4 linked regions of the Arabidopsis thaliana genome follow. The protein of the gene in region 1 interacts with the protein of each later gene in a pairwise test. Each region holds a gene or a part of one and is shown on either strand. Other genes may lie near its edges.

Region 1 (4,204 bases):
ACTAAGACGATTGGGTTGTTGGGATTGTTGTAGATAAACCAGGCAATAACATAATCTACCAATAACAATGTATTGTATTTCCTTTTAGTTGAGAAATTAAATATTTGACCACATTATCTGAATTTTCTTGTCGTCTTAATAACTAATTATCATTATTCATTTTTGGCAGGATCTTTTTTTCTTTGTTAAAGGGTCTACTTTTTTTTTTGATAAAGCAGTCTTTTATTTTTAAAACATGCATCACAAAATTTACCTTCATGAATCAATTCCCTGTGAGACAATGATATGATTTAAAGTTTACATGTAAAATATTCTATACCGTGGAAAAACACTCATTTCATTGTTATATAACGAAAAATATGAATTATATGGACGCAAAATAACTATTTACTAGATATATCGATGTTATAGAAATAATATTATATTAAAAAAAACGATATATACGGTTTAGTGTTAGTGTAAGTTTATATTTTTGGCACTTGTTGAAAACGTTATGATAACTTGTTTATTATCAACCTAACATGTTTTATACGGCTATACCGCATAAAGTGTAGAATTAATTTTACCTCTTTATATGACACAATAATATTTAACATGTAACAAGAGCAAGGGGTTACTTGTCAAATACGCCTATGCACTAAACAATGATAAATTGGTCATTCTCCTAATTTAAAAAGTCACTTTATCATTCTTCTCTAATACCAAACCTTTCTATATAATCACTCTTAAACCGGCCGATAACTTGTTTTCCAAATAATCTAAAACTTATACTAACCAAATTTAACTAAAATAGTAATAATTTCTTACAAATATCAAATCAAAAAATTTCAAATCCCTGACTTGTCAAATCAACCATGTTTCGGACTGAGACCAAAGTCTCTGCAATTCAATGACACATGTATATTATATAGTATTGTTTCATTAATCACACATGTATTTTGACCGTTAACATGCCTTGTTCTTTACGTATGTTGCACTGCAACAACGCTTTGTCGTTAATTTACCTAACTTAGTAAAAACAAAATACATGTCTTAGATTATCAGTTATTCAAACTTGTCGTTATGTAATTGTTATTGAAGTAAACAGAAACTCTGGTGCGATGCAGGACGTTACTCAAACTGAGTCACTTCGATCGGATGTCTTAATTCAAGCAGGACAATCTAGCTTTGCTACTGAAATTTGATGACACGATGATATATATCTATTTCCAACCGATGAAGCACACTGGAGATCCGTTTGGATTTTTATTGTTTTTACTTTTTTACACTATCGTAATCATTCTTTACATATTTCCTTTTTATTTTCTCCTTAGAAGAGAAATTATTTGTATACAAAACTTAGAAGGCTAAATAAGCATATTTATTCAGTATAATCACTGTAACCACACCTTATTCAATAAAATTCTTATTTTGAATCTGTCTATTTATGTATATGATATTGCTATAGTGATGACAGATGAGTAAACATTAAACATACACGCAACATAGCTATCTTGAAAACTGTTTGATGATTTGAGACAAAGAGACCAAAACAAATGGAACCTTCTTCACATATCTATCACACGTCCTCATACACCACCCATATTCTGCCATGTGTTCTCACTCCATCAATATTAATTATTTTTAGGGTTAATAGAGATGGTTTAGTCTCATGCTTTTTGTTTATTACTTTTTTTCTTTGGTCAGAGCTTTTTGTTTGTTAGTAAGGACTTTAAAGATAGAGAGTAAAAATTACTCTTTTGTTTTGTCAACATAATAAGCAGTTTTTTTCTACTTCATTTTGTCTCCGTATTTCATCAAGAAAAGACACGTATTTAGATAGATGATGGAAGGGCGGTACCAAATCTCCTTGACTTGACTTTGCATGTACCATATATATATTTGTATATACATAAATCATAATTCATGAAGAAACCAAATTTTCTCTGTAATCAAGTTCTCAAAGCTTATTAGCTTCTCTCTCTAGTTCTCTCACATATAACATTTGAAAAAGATGGGAAAATCTTCAAGCTCGGAGGAAAGTGAAGTGAAGAAAGGGCCATGGACTCCGGAGGAAGACGAGAAGCTCGTAGGCTATATTCAAACGCACGGTCCCGGCAAATGGCGTACCCTTCCCAAGAACGCCGGTAAATTCCTACCCTAACGCATGTATATATACAAATAGCTAAATCCTATCAGCTACAATATGTTTTCCTGCGTTTTGTTTTACGTTTATGTTTAAAATTTACTAATAATGATTATCATGCTAGATCATGTCAACGTTAGAATTAAAATTAAAACAATCATGGTTCTTATTCGTTTTTCTTGGTGTGAATCTTAAAAGGGTTAAAAAGATGCGGGAAGAGTTGTAGATTGCGATGGACGAATTATCTAAGACCCGATATCAAGAGAGGAGAGTTCTCTCTTCAAGAGGAAGAAACCATCATTCAACTTCATCGTCTTCTTGGAAACAAGTTAGTCTATCTGCAATTTTTCATTTCTTCATTTAGTGTATAATTGTTTACATGTATGATTAAATTAAGTAAAAAATGACCTAGTTTTCCACTACTACACCTACTTCATTGGACTTCCATGTCTTTACATTTTTGTTATAATATTACTTGCATATTTTATTTTATTCAACTAAAAGACAAGAACATAGTTAAGCACTATACCAAGGTCAAATGTCTAAAGCTAAGCATGCAATCTTCAACTCGCTGCAGCTAATATCTTAACAAGTTAAAACTTATACTTCTCTTTTTGATTTTAACTTAAAATCTATAACACGATATTTTTTCTTCTATAGATGGTCCGCAATTGCTATTCACTTACCAGGAAGAACAGATAATGAAATCAAAAACTATTGGAACACACATATTAAAAAGAAACTCTTACGAATGGGGATTGATCCGGTGACTCATTGTCCCCGCATTAATCTTCTCCAGCTCTCTTCGTTTCTTACCTCATCATTGTTTAAATCTATGTCACAACCGATGAATACTCCATTTGATCTCACTACTTCAAATATTAATCCTGATATCTTGAATCATCTCACTGCCTCTCTCAACAACGTTCAGACCGAATCATACCAACCAAACCAACAGCTTCAAAACGACCTAAACACTGACCAAACCACTTTCACCGGTTTGCTCAACTCAACACCACCCGTTCAATGGCAAAACAATGGAGAATACTTGGGAGATTATCACAGTTATACCGGTACAGGTGATCCATCTAATAACAAAGTCCCTCAAGCCGGAAACTACTCATCAGCCGCATTTGTATCCGACCACATTAATGATGGTGAGAATTTTAAGGCCGGATGGAATTTCAGTTCATCAATGCTAGCGGGAACTTCATCGAGCAGCTCGACACCGTTGAATTCGTCTTCGACTTTTTATGTCAATGGTGGAAGCGAAGATGATAGAGAGAGTTTTGGTAGCGACATGTTGATGTTTCATCATCATCATGATCATAATAATAATGCTTTGAATCTATCATAATGTCTTATTTATTTTGCTTCTTGATCTTATTTGTTTTATTTTTACTTTTTTTTAATGGGGGTTTGTAATTGTGTTACATACTTTGTAATATAAGAGCTTAGTCTATTATTATGTTGACTCTTTTTTTTTTTTTTGTTCTACTTTTTTTGATCCGAAAAGGTTTCTATTTGTTTACACTTAAAAAAGTTATAAAACCTAAGAGGATAACAGCTAGTGTACCTTTATCTTGACTTTGTTCTTCTACTAATTGTTTTTTCTGCTTCGAAGAACTTTACATTAGTCGACTCTCAAAAGGTCATAAGATGGTTGATAAGTGTGTTACGTACATACTTAGTATTTTAAGAGTTAAGTGTATTCTTAATCTTGGATTTCTTGTGCATTTTCTTCCACTAATTGTTCTTATTTTCCAATTCGAAGAACTTTCCATTCGTTATACCTAAAAGGTCTTCAACTTGTACGAAAATTTTCTGGTGTTATAGTTTTATTATTCTATTTGCACCATCTTGATTTTGATGATTAAGAACACATTTGGTGGAGCAGGAGACAATAGTGATTATATTTAATTGGTCATAGACTCATAAAGGGGAGTTTTCAATTTCATAATACAAGAAAAAAGAAATAATCGACTTGTTTTCCCTTATGATTGGTTTGAAATCAGCACAAATAAATAGTAATACACCTAAAAGGAAGATTTAAATAGTTATCCACTATGAGAAAATGTG
Region 2 (3,293 bases), on another chromosome or scaffold:
CTTTGTTTTTGTAAGGGGAGTAAAGTTCTGAGCTTGACGTTGAGTTTCATGAAGGGCCTTTGAAGTTTCTTGTCGAAATGTACAGAGCAAGAGCAATTAGAATAGCTTTTGTAGTCTATTGGGAAACATGTGAAATTGCTTGGTCTATAAACACTTTTAGTAGGTATTCTAGCATCTGTATGATTCGTGTTTGCTTCATATGCTTAAGCTTTAGGTTTTGACATTGCAGGTGTTATTAAAATGGAGCATGAGCAAGAACAAATGAAGCTTCTGCTGAGTAGTCCTTCCTAGTGTTTATTACAAATGTAAGATGTGATGGAAAGTCATCAGCAGCTCTTTTCTTTAGAGATAGAAACAGATTTTTGTCTTCTATCAAATATACACGAAGGCTTGTTAGAAGCAAAGTTCTCTCTTCTTTGGATCAATCATTCTCTCAGTTCTTGGTTTGTACTAACAGTTGATGATTTCTTTCATATAATAATGAATCATGTTATTTCCAAATTTTCAAGTTTTATGCTCAAGCTTTTCGTATGGTTAAACTGTAGAAAGAAGCTGTTCTTGTTTTAAAGATAGCAACAGATCAAGAACTCGACCTGAGATCTTACAATTCGTTTGTAATCACAATATTATAGGAGATGTTATACTTTATCGTCATGGAAACGCCACCTAGTTTCTTTGGGAGATCTTCCATGTTTGCAGTTTTTCAAGTAATGGTCATTGTCTTTCGGCTTTTGCTGTAAGGAGAGAACAATAAACATCATAAGAAGAAGATTATTCTGTGAAAGCCTTTGAAATATGAGAAGAAGATAAAACACACAAACCTTCACGGATGAGCTGGAGAGCATTGAGAGAATGCTGAGACAGATGGAACTTAGTCTCATCGCCGGTGACCACGAATCATACAAGACATCTGCATAATCAAAAGAACACATAGAAGGGTCTTGTCATTGGACTTTGAAACAGAGTGAGTCATTGTGTTTGTATGTACTTACCTAAACAAATGTGACCGTTGCTGTAAATATGAGGATGAAGTGGAGCTGGATGCTGAAAGATAACCTGTTTTATATGTGGAACCATCGGGTTATGAGATTGATGCGATGATTAAGTATCGTTAAGTATTAACAAAAGGAGTTAGAGGACGAACCTGTGGAGCTTCCATAGGATAATGCTCAGGGAACTCAACTTGAAGTTGGTAAGTTTCATTGGCGTAAAGAGTTCCTGGAACTCCATGCACTTCAATGATCCATCTGTTTACACCAACAATTCAACATTACATCACCGATTATCAATATTCGAAGGAAAGACAATAAAATGATTATGTACCGTTGGAGATTATCAGAGACTCTGTGCTTGAAACCAGAAGGAGGATTGGTTTGCCACTCCATGAACTCTTTCTGCAACCGGTTCGTGGCGATTTTGGTCAGACCCTAACATAGTAAGAACAAGAGAGAGATGATCAAACCAAAGACAACAATGGAATTATAACCAAAAAGGTACTGTTATATTTAGTTAAAGAAACAATTAACCAACCTTGCGAGTTGATTCAGAAGAACTCGTCATTTGTGTTTATTACAGTGAGTGTGAGAGAGAGAGATTGTGTGTGTTTTGTCTCCTTAGCCATATCCAGTGAGCTTTTTATAGTGTCTTATCATCTTTGCAATGTGTCTAAAGCGTTTGGGTCTATGTCCAGTCATCAATCCGACGTCGTTTTTATTGTGTCGGCTCTCTTTAATCCGGGACTTTCCACTTGTGTTGGAGAAGCGAATCTTACACGCTTTTGCTACTCTCGCGATCATGATCAAACCAGTTAGGAATATTATCATAAAACATTCCAATATCTATTTCGGAAAACCAAATTTCTTAAATTAAAAATCTCATACCATTATGAATATCTGAGTTATGTAAATTTTAGGATAACCAAACTGATGCATGCATATTATTGATATTAACCAAAAATAAGAATTGATACATGCATCAGGTAAAAGTTGGCTTGTAACATTATTTTAATTTATTTCCGGTTTATGGATCCATCATTCAACGATGCCTTGGATTTTTAGCGATGATATATTGCTTTCATTGTCTTATTGCCCTTGTCCTTCTGATTATTTTGAATGGATCGATGGTTACAAAAGTTGTAAGCAACTTGATTATATATCAAAACTGACTAGTCATAATTACAATTATGATGCATGATGTTGTTGTATGCATTGGCTTCACCTTAAACCAAAACTTGTACACATTTGTTCCATGGAAACTATGGTCTATGAACTATGGTAATACGGATCTTATATTCCTATCTAGTTAGGTCCAACTTAGGTCTCAGAAGAATATATACTTGGTAGAACTTAGAACAAATATGTTAAAATCTATAGCTTATCTCTTAAATTAGAGAAGTTAGTTAGACTTATACAAATCAATCGGACCAGATATTATTCCGGTTTATCTGACCGATCTGGTTTCTCCTAGTAAGACATTAAAGAAAGGTAATACATGAAGTAAAAACAGAACTATGGGGAAAAATAAAAATAAAGTCTTTTTGTGAACAAAATAAGAAAATCCATTACAACAGAAATTCCAAGAATAGAAAGATATTATGTGAAGATTCTTGAAAATACTATTATTATAGATTATCTTTTCGAGTTTTGGTCTACATACACTGCAAATTTTAACTTTAAATACACGTAAGATCAATAGGTTTAGATTCTTTCTTATCCTTTACTAAAAAGATATTAAAACAAGGTAACAACAACAACAACAACAAAGAAGAAGAAGCGAAGCATATACACTTTTGAGTTTAAAGACTTTTTAATCAGCACTTGTATTTTTGTTCCTTTGCATCAATCATATCGCTCAAACTTGGCTGCTCATGTTCCAAATTCCTGTTTGAAGAATCATCTCATCACCACCCTTGCATTCGCCGAAAAAAGAATGTCAATGATTCCAAAGTAAAAGATGATGATTCTTCACTTTTGACGTTGGAAGAGCATTCATAGATAGAAAGATAGATGCTTTCAATAATTTCGGTGCGTAATCATAAAGCATAATAATCTTTTACCTTAGTTGGAGAAGAGAGAGTGAGGAAGAACTTTGTAAGGGTTGAGAATTCCCTTTGGGTCCAGCAACTTTTTAATGGAAGCCATTAATGCAACCTGCATAATATTATATTCCGGTAAGAATAGAGTGACACGATAGTTCTATACATAGTTTCCATACGTTGTTTGTTGTTAACTTACAGTTTCGGGTGATTTGCTGTAGAAGATTTCATTAGCTTTCATTACACCTAATCCATGTTC
Region 3 (4,016 bases), 2.4 Mb from region 1:
ACTTGTATGGTAAGAAGGCTACTATAGTAGCTGCTGGTTGCTGGAGTGGATCTCTGATGCATGAATTGCTTAAAGACTGCAACATTCCGCTGGACGTTCCGGTGAAGCCAAGAAAGGTTTGAAGTCTCGTCTGATTGCCCAATTTATATTCCCTCGTTTTAAATCTCTATATTGAAGTGTATCTTTGTCATCACGAGGTGTCAAAATTCTGGCAAGCCAAGTTCTTGAGGATATTATTGTTTAAGAGCAGCAAGTATATCTTTATTTGTCGTGAAGATCCTTTGCAAGCTTCTTGAAATGGACTGCTTTGGTATTTTTTTAAATTGCAGTATCCAACTTTGCCTTGCAGGGGCATCTGCTTGTGGTAGAGAACTTTGATTCATTCCACTTAAATCATGGGATAATGGAGGCTGGTTACTCGAATCATCAAAGTGCTTCAGTTTCAGGATTGGATGTCGATGAACGGATGCTATCTATTTCCATGACAGCCACAATGGACACATCAGGAAACCTTGTTCTTGGTAATTTCATCAATCTATGTCCACTAAAATCCATGTTCTTCTTATTATGTGTGCTTAACATATTTATCAGTCACACACAATATATCTCTTATCTTCATTTAGCCATCTCTAATTTCAGGGAGCAGCCGTGAGTTTGTCGGGTTCGACACTGAAGCTGATGAGTTTATCATCCGTTGCATATGGGAGCGTGCTGCAGAATTCTTTCCTAAGTTACGTGATATTTCCCTCGAAGATTTCATCCGTAACAGGAAAGTGAGAGTCGGGTTGCGCCCTTACAGTAAGCTTCTTGCATCTAATGCTCCAAACCAAAAGTACTTGAAGCCGGCCTTTGGAATGTTCACAAAACCTGAACTTTTCTTTTAACTGATCATAGTGCCTGACGGGAAGCCAGTGATAGGATCCGTGCCCGGATTACAAAACATGTACTTAGCAGCTGGGCATGAAGGAGGTGGACTTTCCATGGTAAGTAACATTCATTCTAATCCTCTAACACCTTTCTCAAGAACCCAATCATGATTCACGGTTTCTTGAAATCGTTTAGGCTCTAGCAACAGCGGAAATGGTAACGGACATGGTACTAGGAAAACCATCACAAGTGGATACTTCAACGTTTGGGGTTAAAGGGCGTCGTTGTTGCTGATGAAATAGAAGCAGTTTGGTTTAGTTAAGAGAGTGAATCCTCTTAAGCATTGTGGTTGCTATAAACGGGGTCTTAAAGGAAATGTCTATGAGCTACATAAATCTAGTGTTGGTTTAGTCCGGTTTTAGTATACTAAGACCAATTCTAATTCTACGTCTTTAAACCAGACTTTTTCTCTAGCTTTCGACATGCATGATCTATTTTTAATACGGTTGATTACAAATATGTTCCATTCAAAATATTCTCAAACAATAATTTAACCATTTATACGCATATTAGCAAAGATATGTCATTCGAATTTGACCAAAAATGCGCACATGGTTATCATATCCTAGAAAACTTTCAAATCAGTGATTATCACATTCCATATTCAAACTATTGCTATTTATTTATTTCAATATATCTATATATATAATATTAATTGTCAACAAACATATAAAACCACAAGTAGTGATGCTAGTTGAAGTTTTTTCTTTTTCTTATTAACGTATAAGTCTTTTGAGTCTATGACCATCTACATCCATCAGTAGTTTTTAAATTTATCTATCAACTTGACATACATATAGGACTGGCTTTGCCTAAATGGTTGGCCCTCCTATGTCAACTTGATATACATATAGTAATCTTTTAAAATATATATATCTAGTTGTTCTGGTCGGACCGTATTATTGTGTGTACAAGTTCGTACATATTAACGTGTGTGATGTCTATATGTTAAAATGTCAACTCTAATTAGCTATATATACGTTCTTAATTCTCCTAGTAATTATATCCATATCTTAAAACTTTCCAACAATCTTAAACACAAACACGCAAAAGATGGAAAAGAGTCTTCTTGTCCTCTGTCTCATTTTGTTTTTTACTTATAGTTACGTCTCGGCTAATTACTATCCACCTAAAGCCTTAGTATCAACCGTCTCTAAGAACACAATCTTGCCTATCTTCACCTTCACACTCAACACAAACCAAGAGTTTTTCATTCACATCGGCGGTCCCTATCTTGTCCGTAAATGCAACGATGGTCTCCCTCGTCCCATCGTCCCTTGTGGCTCCCCCGTATGTGCTCTAACTCGTAGATTCACTCCTCACCAATGCTCTCTTCCCAGCAACAAAATCATCAATGGAGTATGTGCTTGCCAAGCAACCGCTTTTGAGCCATTCCAACGTATATGTAACTCTGACCAATTCACCTATGGAGATTTATCCATCTCTTCTCTAAAACCTATATCTCCTTCGGTCACGATCAACAACGTTTATTACCTATGCATCCCCCAACCGTTCCTTGTAGACTTCCCTCCCGGTGTTTTCGGCCTTGCGGGGCTTGCACCTACGGCTCTCGCCACTTGGAACCAGCTGACTCGACCTAGACTCGGACTCGAGAAGAAGTTTGCGTTGTGTCTTCCTTCTGATGAAAACCCTTTGAAAAAAGGTGCTATTTACTTTGGTGGAGGTCCGTACAAGCTCAGAAACATTGATGCAAGATCTATGCTCTCTTACACTCGATTGATTACAAACCCTAGAAAACTCAACAACTATTTCTTGGGACTCAAGGGTATTTCCGTTAACGGGAATAGGATCTTGTTTGCCCCAAACGCTTTTGCTTTTGACCGCAACGGTGATGGAGGCGTTACTCTAAGCACCATATTCCCTTTCACTATGTTACGAAGCGACATATACAGAGTCTTTATCGAAGCATTCTCACAAGCCACATCGGGTATTCCACGTGTCAGTAGCACGACACCCTTTGAGTTTTGTCTTTCGACGACGACAAATTTCCAAGTGCCTAGGATCGATCTAGAGCTAGCTAATGGTGTGATTTGGAAATTGTCTCCCGCAAACGCGATGAAGAAGGTCAGCGATGACGTGGCTTGCTTGGCTTTTGTCAACGGAGGAGATGCGGCGGCGCAGGCGGTGATGATAGGAATACATCAGATGGAAAATACTTTGGTGGAGTTTGACGTTGGAAGATCTGCTTTTGGATTTAGTTCTTCTTTGGGTTTGGTCAGCGCTTCATGCGGCGACTTTCAAACACGGCCATGAGAATGTCAAAACAACTTGATAGTTGACATTATCTTGTGATTGAATATTTATTTGTCAGTACTCTGGCTTCATTTGTTATGTAACATTCATGTCAAGTGTGGTTTTAAAAAATTTAGTCAATGACGAATGTCAAAGAATGTAATAAAACACTAAAGTTTTATCTTATTATTAATGAACCTTAATATATAAGTTGCGTCGACAAGTCATTTCACTTTATATAATATTAAAGATGTTACATAAGTTTGATAAACCATGTCAATTATTGCTGATGATTTTTTTCTTACTTCCTTTGTTACTATTAGTGATTTATTTGGTTATTTTTCGTCAAACCATGTCATTATATTAAAGGGGTTATATAAGTTTAAACTACTATGACTACTAAACGATATGTAGTTAGTGAAGTGACTTCTTGCAGATTTAGCAAATACCTCAGCTACTTGGTTAGCTCCTTTTTCACAAAACTACAAGTGGGATGAGCTAACTCTAGTACATCTCTAATTACAGTATGTTGGTATGGCAAGATATTTTCGAAAAACCACCAGATAAAATTACCTAATTAAAAATCAAGCATCTTAATATATAAGACTCTCATTCAAAGTGCTACGTATCTAATCTTAAAACTTAAATGGCTTATAAATGGATTTTTTTCAGTGGTGAAAAATCCCAAATTATGTTCAATCCAAGGATCGTTCATTTTTGCACTTTTTAAGTTTCTAATTGAGTACAACGATATATGTCAATGTCAGTGTAATAATACAAAAAAGTTGTAAACTAAAGTCGGAATTATTTGATTTTCTTGTGTTAAACCCATAAAT
Region 4 (3,674 bases), on another chromosome or scaffold:
AGTAATTTTCTGGTTTTAAAGCAAAGTAATAGATTATTTATAATTTTTTTAATTTTAATGGCTTAAGGCTAAAGTGACGTTGGATCGATGAAGCCGCCATAGTTCACAAATGGCCGAATTTAATTTGTTGTTTGTATTTAATAAGTCAAAAGAGATTTCCGAGAAGCAAGGTGAACGTAACCTTAAACTAATCATTAGAACATTAATTATATAAGTTGCGTTTATCATTAATATTGTTGCTTAAAATTACAAACTTTCAAAATCCCATGGTTAAGATAATTAGTGTTTCAGAGCCTAAGACGGAACGGAACTTGTGTAATTTTGTAAGAATAAACATATTAACTTCGTGTCTAAAAAAAAACATACTACACTGACTTCGTTTTCTAATAAGTAATTGTTGTAGAATTTTAATTTATTTCTGTTTATGTAAACTGTTATTTTGTATGTTTAATGCATATATTTTAGACAAGATACTTCTATCCATAATAGTTAGCTTATTAATAGAGGTATAATAATCTTTTTAGATTTCATATTATATTTAGTACTATTGGTTTTAGAAAAATGGAAAAAGGTCAAATAAATAATAGGAACACCACTGGTTTATATTTCTTTTCTGGATTGTGTATACTTTTTAGAAGAAAACTAAAACGGCATGTTGAAAAGGAAACCAAGAGGATAGTAATTAGGTCAGATTACTTGTTTAGTTACAAGAAAGTCAAGAAATCTCATAATTGAGTTTAAAACTTTAAACATTTGCATGGAAGTCAATAAATCTATAATCCTTACTCGTGATCATCTTATTGTTTCCGTGTAACGAAATTAAACGCGTAAAACATCGCGTAAACTATAGTACGGTATGTGATATGCAAATATATCTTAATTTATTTTTTATTTTTTATTTTTCTTGGGCAATGAATTGAAGAGTTGCAAAATTATTTGCCAGCTTACCACATGCGGCCACAATTTTAACCATGATTAATCTTCTTTTGGAATTTAGCGAGATAAATCAAGAGTAGGTTTATTTTAGAACATAGTATATAATACACTAATGAAAAGTCTCGTTAAAACGTGTTTCACGTAACCGACCTCTAAAGTATGGCGTGCGAGTAACGACAAATGAAATCTCAAATGAAAATGGAGATTATTTTAATCTTAATTATAACACACTAATTAACACCCGTCAAACATCCTGATATGTGAACGTGGAATCTCGTTACACAATCGAATAAAATTATTGCTTAATACGATCCGTCTTTCTCTCTCTTTCGTAATGATTATCTATCAATATTATCTTGACTAATAAAAGTATCGCAAGGCCTTGGCAGTCACATGTTAAATGATGATATACGTTGTTGCATGTTAAAACATAGTACAACGATCATCTAGGCTGCTGCTAAATTCTATTTTCAAAAATGCCTTTTATATGCAAGAAAAGCAAAATAATCGAGTTTTTTTTTTTGTTTCATTATAAACTGCTTCATTTTTCTTAGGAACGGCCAAACTGTTAAAAAGTAAAATATGTATGGTGATTAATTGATGTAACCAAAGCCAGTTCGCCCGTTTGATTGTCAACCCACGTTATCATTCACTTGATCACTTCCATGAAACATATAAAAGCTGATAATACTTATATTATAAAGGAAAAAAAGTATGAAAATATTATCAGTAGTTAGATGATTAGTTCACATCTAAATGAAATACGACTTAAACTGAAAGAGACATGAGCCAATTCGTGTCGAGCCACAAATTTTGGACGTATATTTTTAGCCCGTGGTTCCACAATATTTGCAGGTCTTTTTATTCAATGAGTTTATTTTGTCTTGGTTGAATAATGAAATTTCCAAATATAAAAAATAATAGAAATCCGAGGCCCTACACAAGCACACATAGTAACTCCCACATTATATATAAGCGGCCAATATCAGCAACTCAGAGATTCCAGAAAGAAAGAAAAAAAAGAAACAAATAATTCCAAAACCTTCTCTCTTAATCAAAATCAAGAAACTTACAAGATCTGGTGAAAACCATGGAAGAAGGAGATTTTTTCAACTGCTGTTTCAGCGAGATTAGTAGTGGCATGACCATGAATAAGAAGAAGATGAAGAAGAGCAATAACCAAAAGAGGTTTAGCGAGGAACAGATCAAGTCACTTGAGCTTATATTTGAGTCTGAGACGAGGCTTGAGCCGAGGAAGAAGGTTCAGGTAGCTAGAGAGCTAGGGCTGCAACCAAGACAAGTGGCTATATGGTTTCAAAACAAGAGGGCTCGATGGAAAACTAAGCAACTTGAGAAAGAGTATAACACTCTTAGAGCCAATTACAACAATTTGGCTTCACAATTTGAAATCATGAAGAAAGAAAAGCAATCTCTGGTCTCTGAGGTACATAATGATTCTATCGATATCTTTATCTTTAATTGAACAGTGATAGAAACAATAATTGATAATGATCTTTTTTTTTTATAAAGTATAAAATAGCAAATACAGTCTTGGCATTTATTGGTTTTTGGGGGATGTAAATTCTCGATCATTTTGCCTAATTTGATATTAATCAATCTCTATTTGCAGCTGCAGAGACTAAACGAAGAGATGCAAAGGCCTAAAGAAGAAAAGCATCATGAGTGTTGTGGTGATCAAGGACTGGCTCTAAGCAGCAGCACAGAGTCGCATAATGGAAAGAGTGAGCCAGAAGGGAGGTTAGACCAAGGGAGTGTTCTATGTAATGATGGTGATTACAACAACAACATTAAAACAGAGTATTTTGGGTTCGAGGAAGAGACTGATCATGAGCTGATGAACATTGTGGAGAAAGCTGATGATAGTTGCTTGACATCTTCTGAGAATTGGGGAGGTTTCAATTCTGATTCTCTCTTAGACCAATCTAGCAGCAATTACCCTAACTGGTGGGAGTTTTGGTCATAAAAGCATATAAGAAAAAAACAGAACATAAGCGAAGAGAAAGAGTGTGAATAGTTTGTAAATTATGTGTTAAGAAAAATAAATTTAGTTTAGTTTAAATCTTGTTTCGATCTATGTATCTACTATGTTCAATACTCTTTGTAGCTAATTAGTAGCTTATAATGAGACTAGAAAAGTTTTGAAGTCACCAAGGTTAAATTTGTGATTGCAAGTTGGCTCTAAGAGTGTTGGACCAAGCGTAATGATCACAAGTACAAGAGTCTTCGTCCATAATGATCTCGAAACGGACTAAAAATTGACCTAAATTTGAAACTAAGTGCATTTATCTCTATATTGGTGCTCTGCTATAATGCTTTCAATATCCTCGAGATGAATTGTCTATGAATTTTATCACCAAATATCAGTTTTGATCACATTCCGGTTCATCAGCTCAGGTTACTCTGTCACTCCCTTCCTATGAGATATTTGTAGCTGGATTGGCAGATATGGAACAACTTCTTGTAGATGCAGAACTAGTTCCTTTTGGTGTTTGTCTTTCCAGTTTATAAGGAACAATCGAGTCATGATAATCTTCCTATGATTGATGTCATGTGGGACATGTGCTTTGTAACCAGACTCTCAACAGAATGTAAAAGAATGGCTCTAAGTCAAGTCTTTATAGTGTCCTTAATCTTGTAGCAACGGTAGCCCCTGGATCATCCCTTCTTCCTTGAGAAATCAAAGCAAACCAATGTTTCTCTTATGGTTCTGTTCTGTA

The links.
Region 2: the proteins of MYB49 (region 1) and UBC17 interact in a two-hybrid assay, tested with the Arabidopsis thaliana proteins (one large-scale study listed by BioGRID).
Region 3: the proteins of MYB49 (region 1) and AT5G48430 interact in a two-hybrid assay, tested with the Arabidopsis thaliana proteins (one large-scale study listed by BioGRID).
Region 4: the proteins of MYB49 (region 1) and HB-12 interact in a two-hybrid assay, tested with the Arabidopsis thaliana proteins (one large-scale study listed by BioGRID).

What each region holds. Positions count from the first base shown.
Region 1 is NC_003076.8:22,015,635-22,019,838, reverse strand, and holds MYB49 (myb domain protein 49), read left to right. Parts: upstream 1-1,777; 5' UTR 1,778-1,993; coding exon 1,994-2,126; intron 2,127-2,323; coding exon 2,324-2,453; intron 2,454-2,785; coding exon 2,786-3,482; 3' UTR 3,483-3,696; downstream 3,697-4,204.
Region 2 is NC_003075.7:17,200,236-17,203,528, reverse strand, and holds UBC17 (ubiquitin-conjugating enzyme 17), read right to left. Parts: upstream 1,608-3,293; 5' UTR 1,561-1,607; coding exon 1,531-1,560; intron 1,428-1,530; coding exon 1,324-1,427; intron 1,248-1,323; coding exon 1,145-1,247; intron 1,057-1,144; coding exon 993-1,056; intron 911-992; coding exon 822-910; intron 735-821; coding exon 639-734; 3' UTR 541-638; downstream 1-540. Other genes in the region: D2HGDH (FAD-linked oxidases family protein), read right to left, coding at 3,057-3,149, 3,234-3,293. UniProt on the Arabidopsis thaliana protein: Accepts the ubiquitin from the E1 complex and catalyzes its covalent attachment to other proteins.
Region 3 is NC_003076.8:19,627,077-19,631,092, reverse strand, and holds AT5G48430 (Eukaryotic aspartyl protease family protein), read left to right. Parts: upstream 1-1,925; 5' UTR 1,926-1,980; coding exon 1,981-3,201; 3' UTR 3,202-3,459; downstream 3,460-4,016. Other genes in the region: AT5G48440 (FAD-dependent oxidoreductase family protein), read left to right, coding at 1-116, 350-521, 640-798, 895-983, 1,063-1,161.
Region 4 is NC_003074.8:22,913,592-22,917,265, reverse strand, and holds HB-12 (homeobox 12), read left to right. Parts: upstream 1-1,872; 5' UTR 1,873-2,026; coding exon 2,027-2,380; intron 2,381-2,566; coding exon 2,567-2,920; 3' UTR 2,921-3,112; downstream 3,113-3,674. UniProt on the Arabidopsis thaliana protein: Probable transcription activator that may act as growth regulators in response to water deficit.